Arabidopsis thaliana: one gene and its partners. The protein of the gene in region 2 interacts with the protein of the main gene of each other region in a pairwise test. Each region holds a gene or a part of one and is shown on either strand. Other genes may lie near its edges.

Region 1 (3,448 bases), on a different chromosome or scaffold from region 2:
ATATTTAAATTAGAGATATAAATATTGAATTTAATTTTTTTCTATAAAATCTTATTATCAATTTCGTAATTCATATAAGGTTTACTTAAATTAGAAAATATATTTGTTATTAGAATTACTTGACTTTGTTTGTTTTGCTCTGTATTTTTTGGCCAGGCGTAAGTTTGGGCTCTCTTCCTCTCTGTTTTTGTTTCTAGCTGAACTCTGTTTTTTTAGTGTTTCCCCTCTCAGTTTCTTATGCAAACACGACCCAAAAAATATCTACACGGCCCAAATCTCATGTCTTCTTGGTAACGAGGAAATATTTATTTAGTGAAAAAACATTTGATATCAAAGAAACCTCAACAAAAGAAACTATACACTCTCTTTTAGTCTCTTATACGCCAATTCATTGTACAATATACCTCAACATAGAAGCATAGCATATTTGTGAATGTCATGTTAATCAAACCAAACTCAAATGTTTGCAAAAGAAAACTAAAATCACTCTCTTTTCGTTAGAAGCCTTCCAGTACCGTCCTTAGTCATCTCTAGACTCTAGTAGATGGATCAGTGAAAATTTGTGAAAGCTCCATGACTAAATCGTCATGACCCTGAACAAGTGCAACGATCTGCAAAAGATAACAAAGCAAATGAAACCAAAGAACTAAGAAAGTGCAACACACAACACAAAGTATCCTACCAAGAAGCCTACCTCCTGATACGCATCATGTTTGGACTTGTTTCCCTCACCGTACATTCTCATTATCTGAAGAACTGAGTCAACTACTTGACTACCATCGCCCTGAAACTTTGCCTGCATATGGACAATTTTGTTACTTAAACCGCAAGTGAACATATAGGAAATATCAAATGGTACCTATAAGCACTCTATACCTTAAGCTTCGTGGTAAAACTCGTTGTAGCTGAAAGGAAGACACAGAAACCAAAAAGCAGATTCGAGTGATCTTTCATGAGTTCCTCCACCCTAGCAATGACACTAGCGGCATTGACTCTACAAAGAGACTTAGTAACATCAGAATCAATTTACATAATGTATTTGTTCTGTAGACTGAGAAAATCAAACATAACATGGAGAAAAGAACTAATACATACCTGCGAGCTTTAAAATCATTCAAGAGCTTAAGCATTTCCTCATATTTTGCAGGTTCATCATGAAATGCTTCCTTCACAGCAATGAGGTATGAAGTCGCATCATCTATGGTAGGCTCCGGACGTGGTACGCTTCTTCCAACCACCTTATGAAACTCTTCGCTAGCCTCGGGAGGGATGGCTCTCTGATACTCAGGTGCAAGCATGACATTTAAACCAAGACACAGACTCGGGTGATCTTTCAAGAGGTCCTGCATGCGTGCACTGAAAGTAGCCATACCCATCCTACAAAGATAAAAATAACATTAGAATCAATTCTCACATGTGTCTTTGTTCTTTAGACTGTTTAAGAGCAAACCAAACACACCTTCGCGCTATCACCTCATGAAAGAGTCTTAGAAACTCTTGATATTTTGCAGGTTCCGCTTCCTCCAATGCGACCTTCACAGCATTGACGTATGCCTTTCCATCTTCCAAAGATGACGCCGGTGATTTACTTCCTCCAGCCATGGTGTGAAATTGACCTAATCCATTGTTCAAAGATAAAGATTTGTGTTCATCAAAACAGATCAGATTGGTCATTGAAGCCTTTCTTGTATCTCAAGAAACTTAATCCATAACAACAACAAGATCAGTTCGTCGATATGGATGATTCATGCAAAGTTCATCTTCTAGAATACAGATTCATGTAAATTTCATCGAACAAGATCCTTAAGAACATCTAGAATCAGTCTCGATTGAAAGAAAACAACAAGACTTGCTGATTAAAGAAACTAGAAAAGAATCATATACGAAATTCGATCGTTAACCCAATCGTCACGTCACATGATTTCACATTTCAGATGAACGAAAAAGGAATTGAAACGAAGAAGAAGAAGAAGATAACTACCTAACAAGCAAGCTTCGTCTTCGCAAGTGAGAGGCTTCAAGATTCCCAGAAACAAACGCACTCTGTTTTGAGCTCTTCGGTTTTTTTTTCCAGCAAAACCTCAGAGACTGATTCGAGTATTATTCACGAGTCTTAGTCTATATTTATAGTAGGAATATACCATATTTGACTTCATTTTATTTTGCGGAAAAAAAAAGACTTCATTTTATTATTGTCAACTTTTGTTTGCATTGATCAGATAATTAGCATAAGCTTATAAAACTAGAACTGGTAACATCTGTGAAACTGAAATTTTAAAAACTTTCTATATATCAAAGACGATGAGAATTTTTTATATATAATTGGAATACAGATATTTCTATTTATTTTAGTCCAAACTCCAAACATATATAAATCAATAGCTAGTCTTCCACCAGTGCACGCCCTATACCGTCATTAGGGAATTGGATCGCAAGGTTTGGCCCACTAATAATAGTAGCCCATTTCAGGACCTATTTTTCGCAAAAAACAACATAATGCAGCATGTACATTTTTTTTTTAGCATATACTTTTTTTTTTACATTTGGTTTGATTATTTTTCAATTGACATATACCTTCCTTTTTTTTTAGCAAAAAATACATTACTTTGTAGAGACGATATTTGTTTATGTTAACTATATTTTTTCCCTATCAAAGTGTAGTGTTTATGAGGTATTTTGGATCATCCTAGTAATCTAGCTAGCTACTTCTATAATATACGAAGTACCGAACATTTGATAATGATGTTTCAATTTCATACGTTTGTTCCTAGTTCGTGTTAATAATTTCGAACGGACGGTCTATTACTGTATATATAGTCGAATCTTATACGAAAACATTATGGAGAAAAAAAAGTCATGACACAATAATCCCTTCTTTTTATCTATCTATTAAAAGAAAAGTTGGTAGAGATAAACAAGTAAATGCTAAAATGAATTTTCTATAAAGAAACAAAAAGAAATACGTTTACGTATCGATAATGTCTATGCACTATGAAAATATATATATTTGGTTATGCATGAAAAGATGTTTGGAAATCCCAAATTTTTTTAAAGGTTTTTCGTACTTCTAACTATGAAAACGTGATAATCAATGTGCATTAGCATTTTTTTAACGCTCATATAAGTTTCCATAGCTAACTAAACCAGTTTCTGTCAGTTTTGTATAAATTTGTCGTCATTTGTTTTTTTAAAAAAGCTTTGTGTCAACAAAAAAAAAAGCTATAAAAAACCAACACTTTTTAACACAGAACAATTACATAGTATATAAATCTTGAAAAACTTGAAACTACCTAGTAATAAGGAGATTATGGCTAAAATATAGCCTTGTCCATCGAATTGTTCTGTTTTTGTAAGGTTGGATCCAAAGTCCAAACTGAGTTATACGTATTGTAACTGTGTAACATTGTCATCAAGATCATATCTTAGTGATAACAAGAAATATTATTAG
Region 2 (4,892 bases):
AATAGGACGATGTAGTTAAAAGTAAAATATAAACACCAAACTCTATAACACCTACGAAATTCCATTGCCTAGTAAGATATGAAACCATTTCGAAAATACGTCTGTGATCAAAACTTCTTCTTGAAAACTTAATGGGAGAGAGATGGAATCCAGGCTTGAATCGTACCAAGCGCTTTTCGCTTTTAGAGAAAAAACAAATAATTGCAAATTACGTGTAACAAAAGTCTTCTAACGTCGTTGACGGAACCACATTCCTAAATCGTAACGCTGAATTAGTCAATGACGATTATACCCTCAATCATTTCCACTAATCACGACTTTACCTAAGAAGCTCTCTTCCCTGTGGACTGTGGAGACAGTCACACAGAAACATCAAGCAACAGAGTGGTTCTTGTCCGGAAGACCAGAAGGTCATTTCAAATGACAATGACGATTATGCCCTCATATCTGACCACTAATGATTACCCCAAGGAAAAAGCTTTCTTTATGGAGACTGAACATTTCTTGAGAGGAAACCAAACAAAAGCGAGTTCTTGTCTGAAAAGACTAGATAGATAGATGATAATATACGACAATGGATCAGCCTGAAAATGTTCCCAAAAGATGCAGAAACATCCAAAGTAAAAAAGGATAAAATAAAAAGACCTAGTTGGTTGGCTCCGTTCCGTTTTATCCTAATTTTACAACAGAGATTCATAAGGTTTCTGATCCGTCTGAAGAAGCTACATCCATAGCTCATACTATTAAGAAGATTACAGCTAAGAGGCAAAGAAGAAGAAGAAGAAGAAGAAGACACCTGGAGAGATGTTGCGGTGGTTTAACTAGCTTGTCCACTGGCGTTCTTCTTCTTAAGTTCCTCGTTCTCCTGACGCAGCGCATCGATTCTTGACTGGAGAATGCTGATCATAGCCTCTGCACTCATCATCTCAAGCTTGAAAGTTTCTCTTTCAACAGACATCTGGTGAACCTCCTTCTGGAGATCATTAACCTTCTCTTCAGGAGATGCAATTGGACTAGGAGGAGAAGTTTCCTCTTTCTGCTGGTTTTCTTTCTTGTCGGAGATACCCATAAGTGAGAACTCAAGCAATGCAGAGATGGCAGTGTTGGTAGCAGCAGCAGCAGATGATGAGATTAAGGTGGTTGTATTGTCGACGGTTGTTATTGTGGACGAACAATGGTCCTGTGTGTTCCTGCTTGAGTTGTTGTTGGACTCGTTTTGGCGTCTACGTTTGTATTGCAGGAGAGGTAGTGGAGCTTCTTTGTTGAGAATGCATAGAGAAGGAGGACGCTCATCTTCTTCTGCGTGCTCGCGTTTGAGTGTGTCCTCATCTTCTTCATAACCACTATGGTTGTTACTCTCCTGTGGCTTGAAGGCACTCTCATGATGATTCTGTTGGTTAGGTTCGATGTCCATTGGAGTAGCATCTCTCGGTAGCTCGTTGATGTTAATGAGATCCTTGCTTGCTGAATGCATTTCCTACAACAAATTACAAGTTATGTGAACCCCAACAGACATAAAATATCTCAAACCAAAACGCGTTGATCGACTTTGCAGATTAACCAAAACACAATAAATATTTCTCTTGTTGAGCACCTTTAATGCCAAACGAAGATTGTAAGTCTGAAATATCATGTAATCAAAGGATAAATCTCAAAGAAAAAGGACCATAAAGAAAAATTAGATATCTTGTGAATCAAGAGAGACCTTTCATTAGATAAAGCTGTAAGGTTGAGCTGAGTTCTACAAAAGGTGATAGCAAACTTAATGGAATTGTGCAGTTTAAGTAAATCAGCCCACTGAAACAGCACTTAGAGAAGCAAAGAGCTTTTGCAATAAGAAATATAATATCTTGTGAATCAAGAGAGATGATTCACATTAGAGGGATGTATCACAGAGGTTATGCATATAAGAAACATTTGAGTATAAAGAAAGTACAAACCTGGTCCATCTGGTTGTTTCCATTGGCTTGTGGTAGAGCCTCTACCCTGACCCTAACGTCTATTCCTGGAATCAGAGCTCCTCCACCATCAGCCCATTCTTCTTCCATGAATGGCGCATATCTGTTCCCACTTGGTGGCCCAATGTTATTCTTGTGAAACACTCTGCACAACACATATGCATCCTGCTGCACCCAGACAAAGAAGTAAGATAAGATAGGATTCTTACAAAATGAGATAACCCCAATTCAAAAGTAACTCTTTTGGACAACATAATACCAGCAGGCTTCCGTTAGTTTCAGTTTCATATTCCACAAGGCGATACTCGTGCATGACCCAATTAGTCCGAAGGCCGTCTGGAGCACGCCCGCTGTGGAAAACAAGCGTCTTTTTCATACCGAGCAACTGAATATCCCGGCGGATTTCTCTGTCTTTTCCAGTTGCTTTCCAGTACCCTTTGTTAGTTGCTCGATTCATCCTAGCACCATTACCGTACTTCTTATCTAACGCACTGAAGAAGTACCATTCTTGGTCCCGAGTTTTCAACTTCGAAAACACTGAAACACACAACACATCACAAGGTTTTTTTTCTTTCAGATCATACTTGAGAACACTTCAGATAGCCAAACACACAAGCAACAAACTTCATTTCCTGATCCACAAGCAAACATAACTGTAGCACAAGCAAACATAACTGTAGCACAAGCAAACACGAAATTCTTAAAGCAATCTGAAGAAAATTCGACTTTCTTCAGTTAAGAAGTCAATTGGATGGAATGTCTTCACAGTGTTAAAGCCTAATTGCCTAAACTTAGCGCCAGGTACGAACAGAGAATCTTCTCTGCAACAAAAAATTTCCCAGAAAACGAATCGGAGCACGTAAAAGCTAAACTCATTTCCCAGAATTGAGCCAGAAGACGGAACAACCAATAAGCCCAGGCGACAAAAATCCCAAATCAGAAGCATCAAATTCACAGAAACCCCCAAATCATAGAGATAAGCAGAAATGAAGAAGAAGAAACCTAACGAACCTGCTAAATCCCAGGGCTCATGCTTGTAGATATCTACCTCTCCAATCGCATCGAAGCGTACAGGTTTACCCAGAACCTTCCTCTTCAAGTAATAGCTCACGAGTTCCTCATCAGTCGGATGAAATCGAAAGCCAGGAGCAAGCGAGGTAGCCGACACAGCAGTACTGGGCGCAGTCGCCGATGGCGGCGAGGACACAACAGCCAGAGATTCGCGACCCATAAAAAGAAAAAAAAAAGACCGTATTTGTTTCTAGGTTTTCTTCTCAATTTTTTCAGACAAACCAGAAATATAGTTGTCAAAATGTTTTTTTTAATATGAAACCAGACAAACCAGAAAAAGAGAAGCAGGTACCTTCAATTGCAAGAAATTTGCTTTCTTTTCGAGTTCCTAGAAGGCTAGAAAAAAAGTAATTTCGGATTGCGATTACTATTTTTCATTTTCAATTTTAATAATAATTTCTCATTTTTGAGTGTTGCAGTAATAAAACCCTAAAAAATGTTACTGCTTAGCTTTTTGTTGTCGTTCTATGCAGTAAAATAAAGGAACCACTAGTCCTAGTGTGTGGTCTGAAAAGTAAGTATCCAACGATAAATATTTTTTAAAAAGTAATATGTTAGACAGATGATGAAAAAAATAATGAAAAATTAAATATTGCTTATGTGATTAATAACTCTTTTTAAAAGGTAAAGTATTTTTTTAAAAGATTAGAGTTTATTTGTTTCCTTTAATGTTAAATGCATTGTATACATCTTTAGTATAAAAATCTTATATTGTATTTGATAAATTATTGTAGTTCAAAGATTTACAAACGCTAGGATAAATAGAAAATAATCTGGTTGGAAAATATGTAATGGTTTTGTGCTTATCAAAAGTTAAATGCTGACATGTACAGTAAAACCTCTATAAATTAATAACTTCTACAAATTAATAAATTATTAAGATTCCAAAAACTAGTATAAAAAGTGATATATATCGATAGATTAATAAGATAATAATTATTTTGAATGTTCTATGTAAATATATGGTCTCATTAATATCATAAATTAATAATTATATAAAAGTATCAACTATGTATATTTATTATATGTAAAAATATTCTTTAAAATTTATTTTTAATATTTTTTTGCTTAAATTTGTATTATTTTTGTTTGAAATTCAGTTCTAATAGTTTTACTATATCAAAAAATTTTGGTATTATTTTCTATACATGAAGTTGACCAAAAAAGAAGAATTAATGAGAATAAGATAGAAGGTGAAAGAAAATAAAAAAGGAGTGACAGATACGTTTGCTTGCAGGAGGATACTTTACCAATAAGGCAAGCTAAAGGGGAGGAGAGACTTGGTCCACACGAATCATCATCTTTCCCATTTTCTGTTACTATTTATTATTCTTCTTTTCTCTATTTATTTTCTAGTACAAGTCCTCTTCAAATTTGTAATTCGTAGTTTGGTTTTCGTTTAAACCATTTGCAATTCTCAAATATAAACATTAACTACGATTTGAACTTGAATAATTTACTTGTGGGGTTTGTATTACTGTTTAAGTCAAGGTGACAAAGACAAAAGGTTACTTTCTTCTCTCTTTTTTTCATCTTCTAGTAAAATGGAATATTTAAAACAATATTATTCGACATGTTGAATTTTGTTGCTGTCGACATTTCGATATTGAAATTCTATATAATTATGGTGTACGGGGGTGGAATTGATGAGGCGTACCAGAAAACTATATGATATTTTTGCACTATTTTCTTCTTTTTTGGTACGCTATGTCTCTTGTCTCTTATGCTTTGTATGCGTAACTAATTCGAAGGCAGAAATTAAAACGAAAAATATCCAACTCTTACTTTTACACATATTATTATGAAACTAATAAAGAAAGTAAGAGTAAAAGAAAACTCTATTTTATTTATTTATTTATATAG
Region 3 (6,237 bases), on a different chromosome or scaffold from region 2:
GTAATATATTAAATTGAAAATAAAAGAAAAATAACGAATGTGAAATTAGAGATGACCTAAGCGAATTCAAAGTTAGCAAATTTAGAGTCGAATAGCGAAGAAAAAGCTTACTGTGTAGCCATGGCGGAGACCAAAGTAACTGGAGAAGGAAGAAGAGAGAGAGAAATGGAAGAAGGAATAAAAGAGAGAATTTTTAGAAGAAAGAAAAAAGACAAAATAGAAAAGCGTTGACAGGCTAAAAGAGCGAGACGGACAAATGAAAGTGGTTACTGGTTACTATTAGTACCAACGCTGGATTTTTAGCTTACGTGTCTATTTCACCTCTTTGATATTTTCTTTTTTTCCGTAGCAAATTTTAATTATTTTTAAATTATATAACCATTATTAATGATAATATGGTAGCTTAAAGTATTAATTAAATAATATAATTTTTATATAATATTAAAAAGTTCTCAGTAATACTTAAATATATATATATTAGAAAGTTATTTAATGTCTAAATTTCAGATTTTTAGAAGAATTTAGCCAAATTAAATCAAATATTAAAAGATTTTGCTGTTTAAAAAGGAATTAAATCAAAAAATATTAAATGAATTAAAAACAATTATCTTCCACTCCACATAAAAAAAAAGATATGTGAGTAGAAAAGAAAAAAAATATTAAAAGATAAGATGCAAACCCTGCATTTGTAACTCCATAACTAAATCTAAAAGCAAGTGACTCAGAGCACAACTCTCGTACAATTTGCCCTACAGTTTTATTTATATTTGGTGGCAAATGTCAGCTCTGTTTTGATGTGAAAGCCATCAACATCATGTAATTGATTAGCATATTACATATAGAATATGAGATACCCACATATATATAGAAAAAATGACGGTAAAGATTAAAAAAAAAAGTATACTTGATTTGTCATAATAAGAATAAGCATGTATCTCATATGTACAAAAATAGATTTAATGTTATTTATTTTAATATTCTTGTATTTTTTGTTTTATTTGAACTTATAATAAAAAAAAAACTGTAGATATTAATAGTTATGTAAAAATCATAAAAATAGATGTAAAAATCATATTAAAAGTTATGATAAATTTAGTTTACTACATAACTCTTTTGAAAAATGTGGAAAAATTATAGTAAACTGTATGAAAAGAAGATTATCATACAGTTAAAATTAAAATCTTTTAGAACATGTGTAGTGGTGGTTTCTAACCAAAGTTTTTAATTTACTAAAGTAATAATAATAAAAAAAATATTTAATTTGAAGAGTTTTTTAAAATAGTTTTTTCAAATCTTTTAAATTAAAAACTTTCTCATATTTTCTTAGAAATTGTTTTAATTAAAAAAATATTGTTTATTATTTTATTATTATTAATGTAGGCGAGAGATTTTGGTAAAAAATCACAATGCTGATGCTTTTAAAATAATCAATTTTTCTAAGAATACATAAATCAGCAATGCTTCTCACACGCCAAACGTAAATATAGACGCGATTATGAAAAAAAATCGCGTCGAAAACAAACGTCATTATGTCATTACACGTGTTACCAATCAAAAAGCCTTTATGTTTAATTAGTAAAGGCTAGTAAGAGATTTACAACAAATGAAAAAAATAAAAATAAAAACATAATCCAAGATCCCTAAAAATTCCCAAAAAGAACCCTAGATTTTCTCCTCTCACGCTCCTTGGTTCCTCACTCGCTTTTGCTTCCCCACTCGCCTGCTTCGTGTTCTTCTTTGCTTTGCTCTTTTCACGTCAGAATTTTGCCTTCCCTCCCTTTGTCTCTCTCTGGGTGGCCGAGAAAATACAGTAAAAAGCCCTCACCAATCCAAAAGTTTGACATTTCCTGAATTTTGTAGTCTCTTCATTTGAATTCTCAGGTTTTCTCTTAAGATACATTAAAGTCTCTGTCTTTTATGCTGATACTAATGAAAGTTCAGTTCTTTCACTGAAATTTTAGAACCAGAACTTTTCTACTACTAGAAGTATGTTGTCTCTGACTCTCTTAGTTTGAGTTCTCAGGTCTCCTTCTCTTATTTGTGTGAAATTTTACTCTTTTTTGGCTTTAGAAACAGAACTTTTCTACTATTAGAAGTTATGTTGTTGAAAGTTCTTCACTTTCATTTGATTCCATTGATTTCATATTGCTTTGTGTGTTTCAAGTTTGATGTTTTTAGGTAGAAGATGTCGCGCTGGTTCTTATGAAGTTTGGTTGTGACATTTTTCAGGTGCTAAGGTGGATTATCTAGTAGAAAGATTTCAGTTTCCAATTTCATGGAAGCCCATAGTGGGGTAGTTGCTTTTGAGTGTGTTAGTGAATCCATATGTGGCTAAGGTTAGGATGGATTTGCAAGAGAATCTGGTTAGTGATGCAGGGGATGACCATATGGTTGACATTGTAGTTGAACCGCATAGTAACAGAGATATAGGAATTGTTGATGAGTTCAATATAGGTGGAGATGTTGGATTTAGTGGTGATCTGGATCTTGAGCCACGAAATGGTATAGACTTTGATACCCATGAGGCAGCGTATATCTTTTATCAGGAATATGCAAAATCTATGGGTTTTACTACGTCGATTAAAAACAGTAGACGTTCCAAGAAAACTAAAGACTTCATTGATGCTAAGTTTGCTTGTTCCAGATATGGTGTGACTCCTGAGTCTGAGAGTAGTGGTAGTAGTAGTCGAAGGTCAACTGTGAAAAAAACAGATTGCAAGGCTAGTATGCATGTGAAGAGAAGACCAGATGGGAAATGGATCATTCATGAGTTTGTAAAGGATCACAATCACGAACTTTTACCTGCCCTTGCTTATCATTTCCGGATTCAGAGGAATGTCAAGTTAGCTGAGAAGAATAATATCGACATTCTGCATGCGGTTAGTGAACGGACCAAAAAAATGTATGTTGAAATGTCGAGACAATCTGGCGGATATAAGAATATCGGGTCTCTTCTTCAGACCGATGTCAGCAGTCAGGTTGATAAGGGTAGGTATCTAGCTTTGGAAGAAGGAGATTCTCAAGTACTGCTTGAGTACTTCAAGCGTATCAAGAAAGAAAACCCTAAATTCTTTTATGCTATAGACCTGAACGAGGACCAACGTTTAAGAAATCTGTTTTGGGCTGATGCCAAGAGCAGAGATGACTATTTGAGTTTCAATGATGTTGTATCCTTTGATACTACTTATGTCAAGTTTAACGATAAGTTGCCACTAGCTTTATTTATTGGGGTGAACCATCACTCCCAACCTATGTTACTAGGCTGTGCATTGGTTGCTGATGAGTCTATGGAGACTTTTGTGTGGCTGATAAAAACATGGCTACGAGCAATGGGTGGTCGAGCTCCTAAAGTTATACTCACTGACCAAGATAAATTCTTGATGTCTGCTGTTTCAGAGCTCCTACCAAACACTCGTCATTGCTTTGCGTTATGGCATGTTTTAGAAAAGATTCCTGAATATTTCTCACATGTGATGAAACGGCACGAGAATTTCTTACTGAAATTCAACAAATGCATTTTCAGATCTTGGACAGATGATGAGTTTGATATGAGGTGGTGGAAAATGGTCAGCCAGTTTGGACTTGAGAATGATGAATGGCTGCTATGGTTGCATGAACATCGCCAAAAGTGGGTGCCCACATTTATGAGCGATGTGTTTCTGGCAGGCATGTCGACATCTCAACGTTCAGAAAGTGTGAACTCTTTCTTCGATAAGTACATCCATAAGAAAATCACGCTGAAAGAGTTCTTGAGGCAATACGGTGTGATTCTGCAGAATAGGTACGAAGAGGAATCTGTTGCAGATTTCGATACTTGCCACAAGCAACCTGCATTGAAGTCCCCCTCGCCCTGGGAGAAGCAAATGGCAACAACTTACACCCACACAATATTTAAGAAATTTCAAGTCGAGGTCTTGGGGGTTGTCGCTTGCCATCCTAGAAAGGAAAAAGAAGATGAAAATATGGCGACGTTTAGAGTTCAAGACTGTGAAAAAGACGATGACTTTCTTGTAACGTGGAGCAAAACTAAGTCAGAACTTTGCTGCTTCTGTCGTATGTTTGAATACAAAGGGTTTCTTTGTCGGCATGCTTTGATGATTCTGCAGATGTGTGGTTTCGCCAGCATCCCGCCTCAGTATATATTGAAAAGGTGGACAAAAGATGCTAAGAGTGGAGTATTAGCTGGTGAAGGAGCAGACCAGATACAGACCCGAGTTCAGCGCTATAACGATTTGTGTAGTCGAGCCACTGAATTGAGTGAGGAAGGTTGTGTGTCAGAAGAAAACTACAACATCGCATTGCGCACACTAGTCGAGACCCTGAAAAATTGTGTTGATATGAATAATGCTAGAAACAACATCACTGAGTCTAATAGCCAGCTTAATAATGGTACTCACGAAGAAGAAAACCAGGTAATGGCTGGGGTAAAAGCAACAAAAAAGAAGACTGTATATAGGAAAAGAAAGGTATGCTTTTACTGAAGCTTCTCGCCAATCTAAACCTACGTACATTTTCTTAGCTTCAAAGGTTAAAAAGAAGATACTCAAATTGATCTTATGCAGGGACAACAAGAGGCTAGCCAAATGCTTGAATCTCAACAGAGCTTGCAACCAATGGTTTGTGCTTTGATTTGATCTTCTCTAATTAGTTTGATCATTGTAACTGCACATTGCTTTATGAGATTAAGAGTAGGATGTCTTGGATATATGGCCTTATAGTTTTAACATTTTGTGCAGGAAACTATAAGTTCAGAGGCGATGGACATGAATGGTTACTATGGTCCTCAACAGAACGTTCAAGGACTGGTATGCTATGTTAGTTGATTAATACAAACCTGGTTAAGCCATTCGACATCTATTATAAACCCTAATACTAAACCTGTTTAAACTGTGGATATAGTTAAATTTAATGGAGCCACCTCATGAAGGCTACTATGTAGATCAACGAACCATCCAAGGCCTGGTAGGTTACATATAGTTTAAATGCTTGAATCTCCCAAATCTGTGCTAGAGTATAAGTCAACGACATGAATTTTGGTTCTTTTGACTCTTCAGGGACAACTGAATTCGATAGCACCGGCGCAGGATAGCTTCTTCACGAATCAGCAAGCCATGTCTGGGATGGTGGTACATTATAAAATCCTTCAAACTGATTTTAAAAACTGTGTTATGAATGATCGTGTTGTTAACATCTTTTGTTTATTGTCCGGTCCAGGGTCAAATCGATTTCAGACCTCCTCCCAATTTCACTTACACTTTACAGGTCTCAGCTGCCTGGATAAAGTCTTTACTTTAGTATCATTTTGTACTCGAACCACACGTGTTGATATCGTTAAATCTTTTCGTTATTCCAGGAAGAGCATTTGAGTTCTGCCCAATTACCTGGTAGTTCATCAAGGCAGCTATAGTAGCAACACGTTTTGATTACTTTGGAGAGAAGTTTTGTCTCAGGAAACATTTGCAAGAAGCTGTTCCAAACATGAGAAAAACACAAGATCTTTCATGGAGCTGAGTTGCAATGACAAGATGTAATCTTTTCTTAAATTGGTTTCTGTATATTATGGGATTGCCTTATGATGTATTAATGTGGGATGAAATATTGTGTTATCTGATTGAATGTCTTGAGATTTAATAGATGCACTTGTAACAACATCTTTATCTAAACACATAGAAATCTATCCTCTGTGTATTAGTCAAACAAGTAATTTTGAGATCACATTAAATCAAAATTGTTAAAACAGGTTTCAACTTATTTAGTAGAAACAAAAAGTTATTTTTAGATTAAATGTGGTTAATTTGGTTAAATACACATTCCCTGGTCGTTGTCGTATGTAGGTGTGTCCCTTTTGACAAAACAAACAAACAGAAAAGGTTTCTTTATTCAGACAACATCAAAACTGGGGAAGAACCAAAACTAATAGAGTTGGTCAAAAGAAACATTTGCAAAAAAAAAAAAAGAGAGGCAAAGATCTCGAGAGATTTCAATTTTCAATGGAGAAAGTGAATCAAACCTTCTTCTTATCTCATGGATCTCCAACTTTGAGCATAGATGATTCCTTGGAAGCGAGACAATTCTTCAAATCATGGACTCAAAAAGTTCTTCCTCAAAAACCCAAATCGATTTTAGTCATCTCTGCTCATTGGGACACCAAATTCCCATCTGTCAACACTGTTCTTCGCAATAACACGATCCACGATTTCTCTGGCTTCCCTGATCCTATGTACAAGGTAAAACCAA

What was found. The genes of interacting proteins can lie anywhere in the genome.
Region 1: the proteins of NAC050 (region 2) and AT1G23810 interact in a two-hybrid assay, tested with the Arabidopsis thaliana proteins (one large-scale study listed by BioGRID).
Region 3: the proteins of NAC050 (region 2) and FAR1 interact in a two-hybrid assay, tested with the Arabidopsis thaliana proteins (one large-scale study listed by BioGRID).

The regions. Positions count from the first base shown.
Region 1 is NC_003070.9:8,415,649-8,419,096, reverse strand, and holds AT1G23810 (Paired amphipathic helix (PAH2) superfamily protein), read right to left. Parts: upstream 1,603-3,448; coding exon 1,460-1,602; intron 1,378-1,459; coding exon 1,096-1,377; intron 995-1,095; coding exon 877-994; intron 797-876; coding exon 695-796; intron 612-694; coding exon 531-611; downstream 1-530.
Region 2 is NC_003074.8:3,262,707-3,267,598, reverse strand, and holds NAC050 (NAC domain containing protein 50), read right to left. Parts: upstream 3,252-4,892; 5' UTR 3,190-3,251; coding exon 2,970-3,189; intron 2,780-2,969; coding exon 2,750-2,779; intron 2,669-2,749; coding exon 2,600-2,668; intron 2,496-2,599; coding exon 2,218-2,495; intron 2,127-2,217; coding exon 1,941-2,126; intron 1,798-1,940; coding exon 1,706-1,797; intron 1,595-1,705; coding exon 1,549-1,594; intron 1,478-1,548; coding exon 818-1,477; 3' UTR 509-817; downstream 1-508. UniProt on the Arabidopsis thaliana protein: Transcriptional repressor that binds to the motif 5'-(C/T)A(C/A)G-3' in the promoter of target genes. Also binds to the 5'-CTTGNNNNNCAAG-3' consensus sequence in chromatin.
Region 3 is NC_003075.7:8,612,464-8,618,700, forward strand, and holds FAR1 (FRS (FAR1 Related Sequences) transcription factor family), read left to right. Parts: upstream 1-1,596; 5' UTR 1,597-1,810; exon of another isoform or gene 1,811-2,229; 5' UTR 2,230-2,342; coding exon 2,343-4,466; intron 4,467-4,562; coding exon 4,563-4,616; intron 4,617-4,736; coding exon 4,737-4,805; intron 4,806-4,899; coding exon 4,900-4,962; intron 4,963-5,054; coding exon 5,055-5,126; intron 5,127-5,214; coding exon 5,215-5,262; intron 5,263-5,353; coding exon 5,354-5,407; 3' UTR 5,408-5,707; downstream 5,708-6,237. Other genes in the region: catalytic LigB subunit of aromatic ring-opening dioxygenase family, read left to right, coding at 5,991-6,227. UniProt on the Arabidopsis thaliana protein: Transcription activator that recognizes and binds to the DNA consensus sequence 5'-CACGCGC-3'. Activates the expression of FHY1 and FHL involved in light responses. Positive regulator of chlorophyll biosynthesis via the activation of HEMB1 gene expression.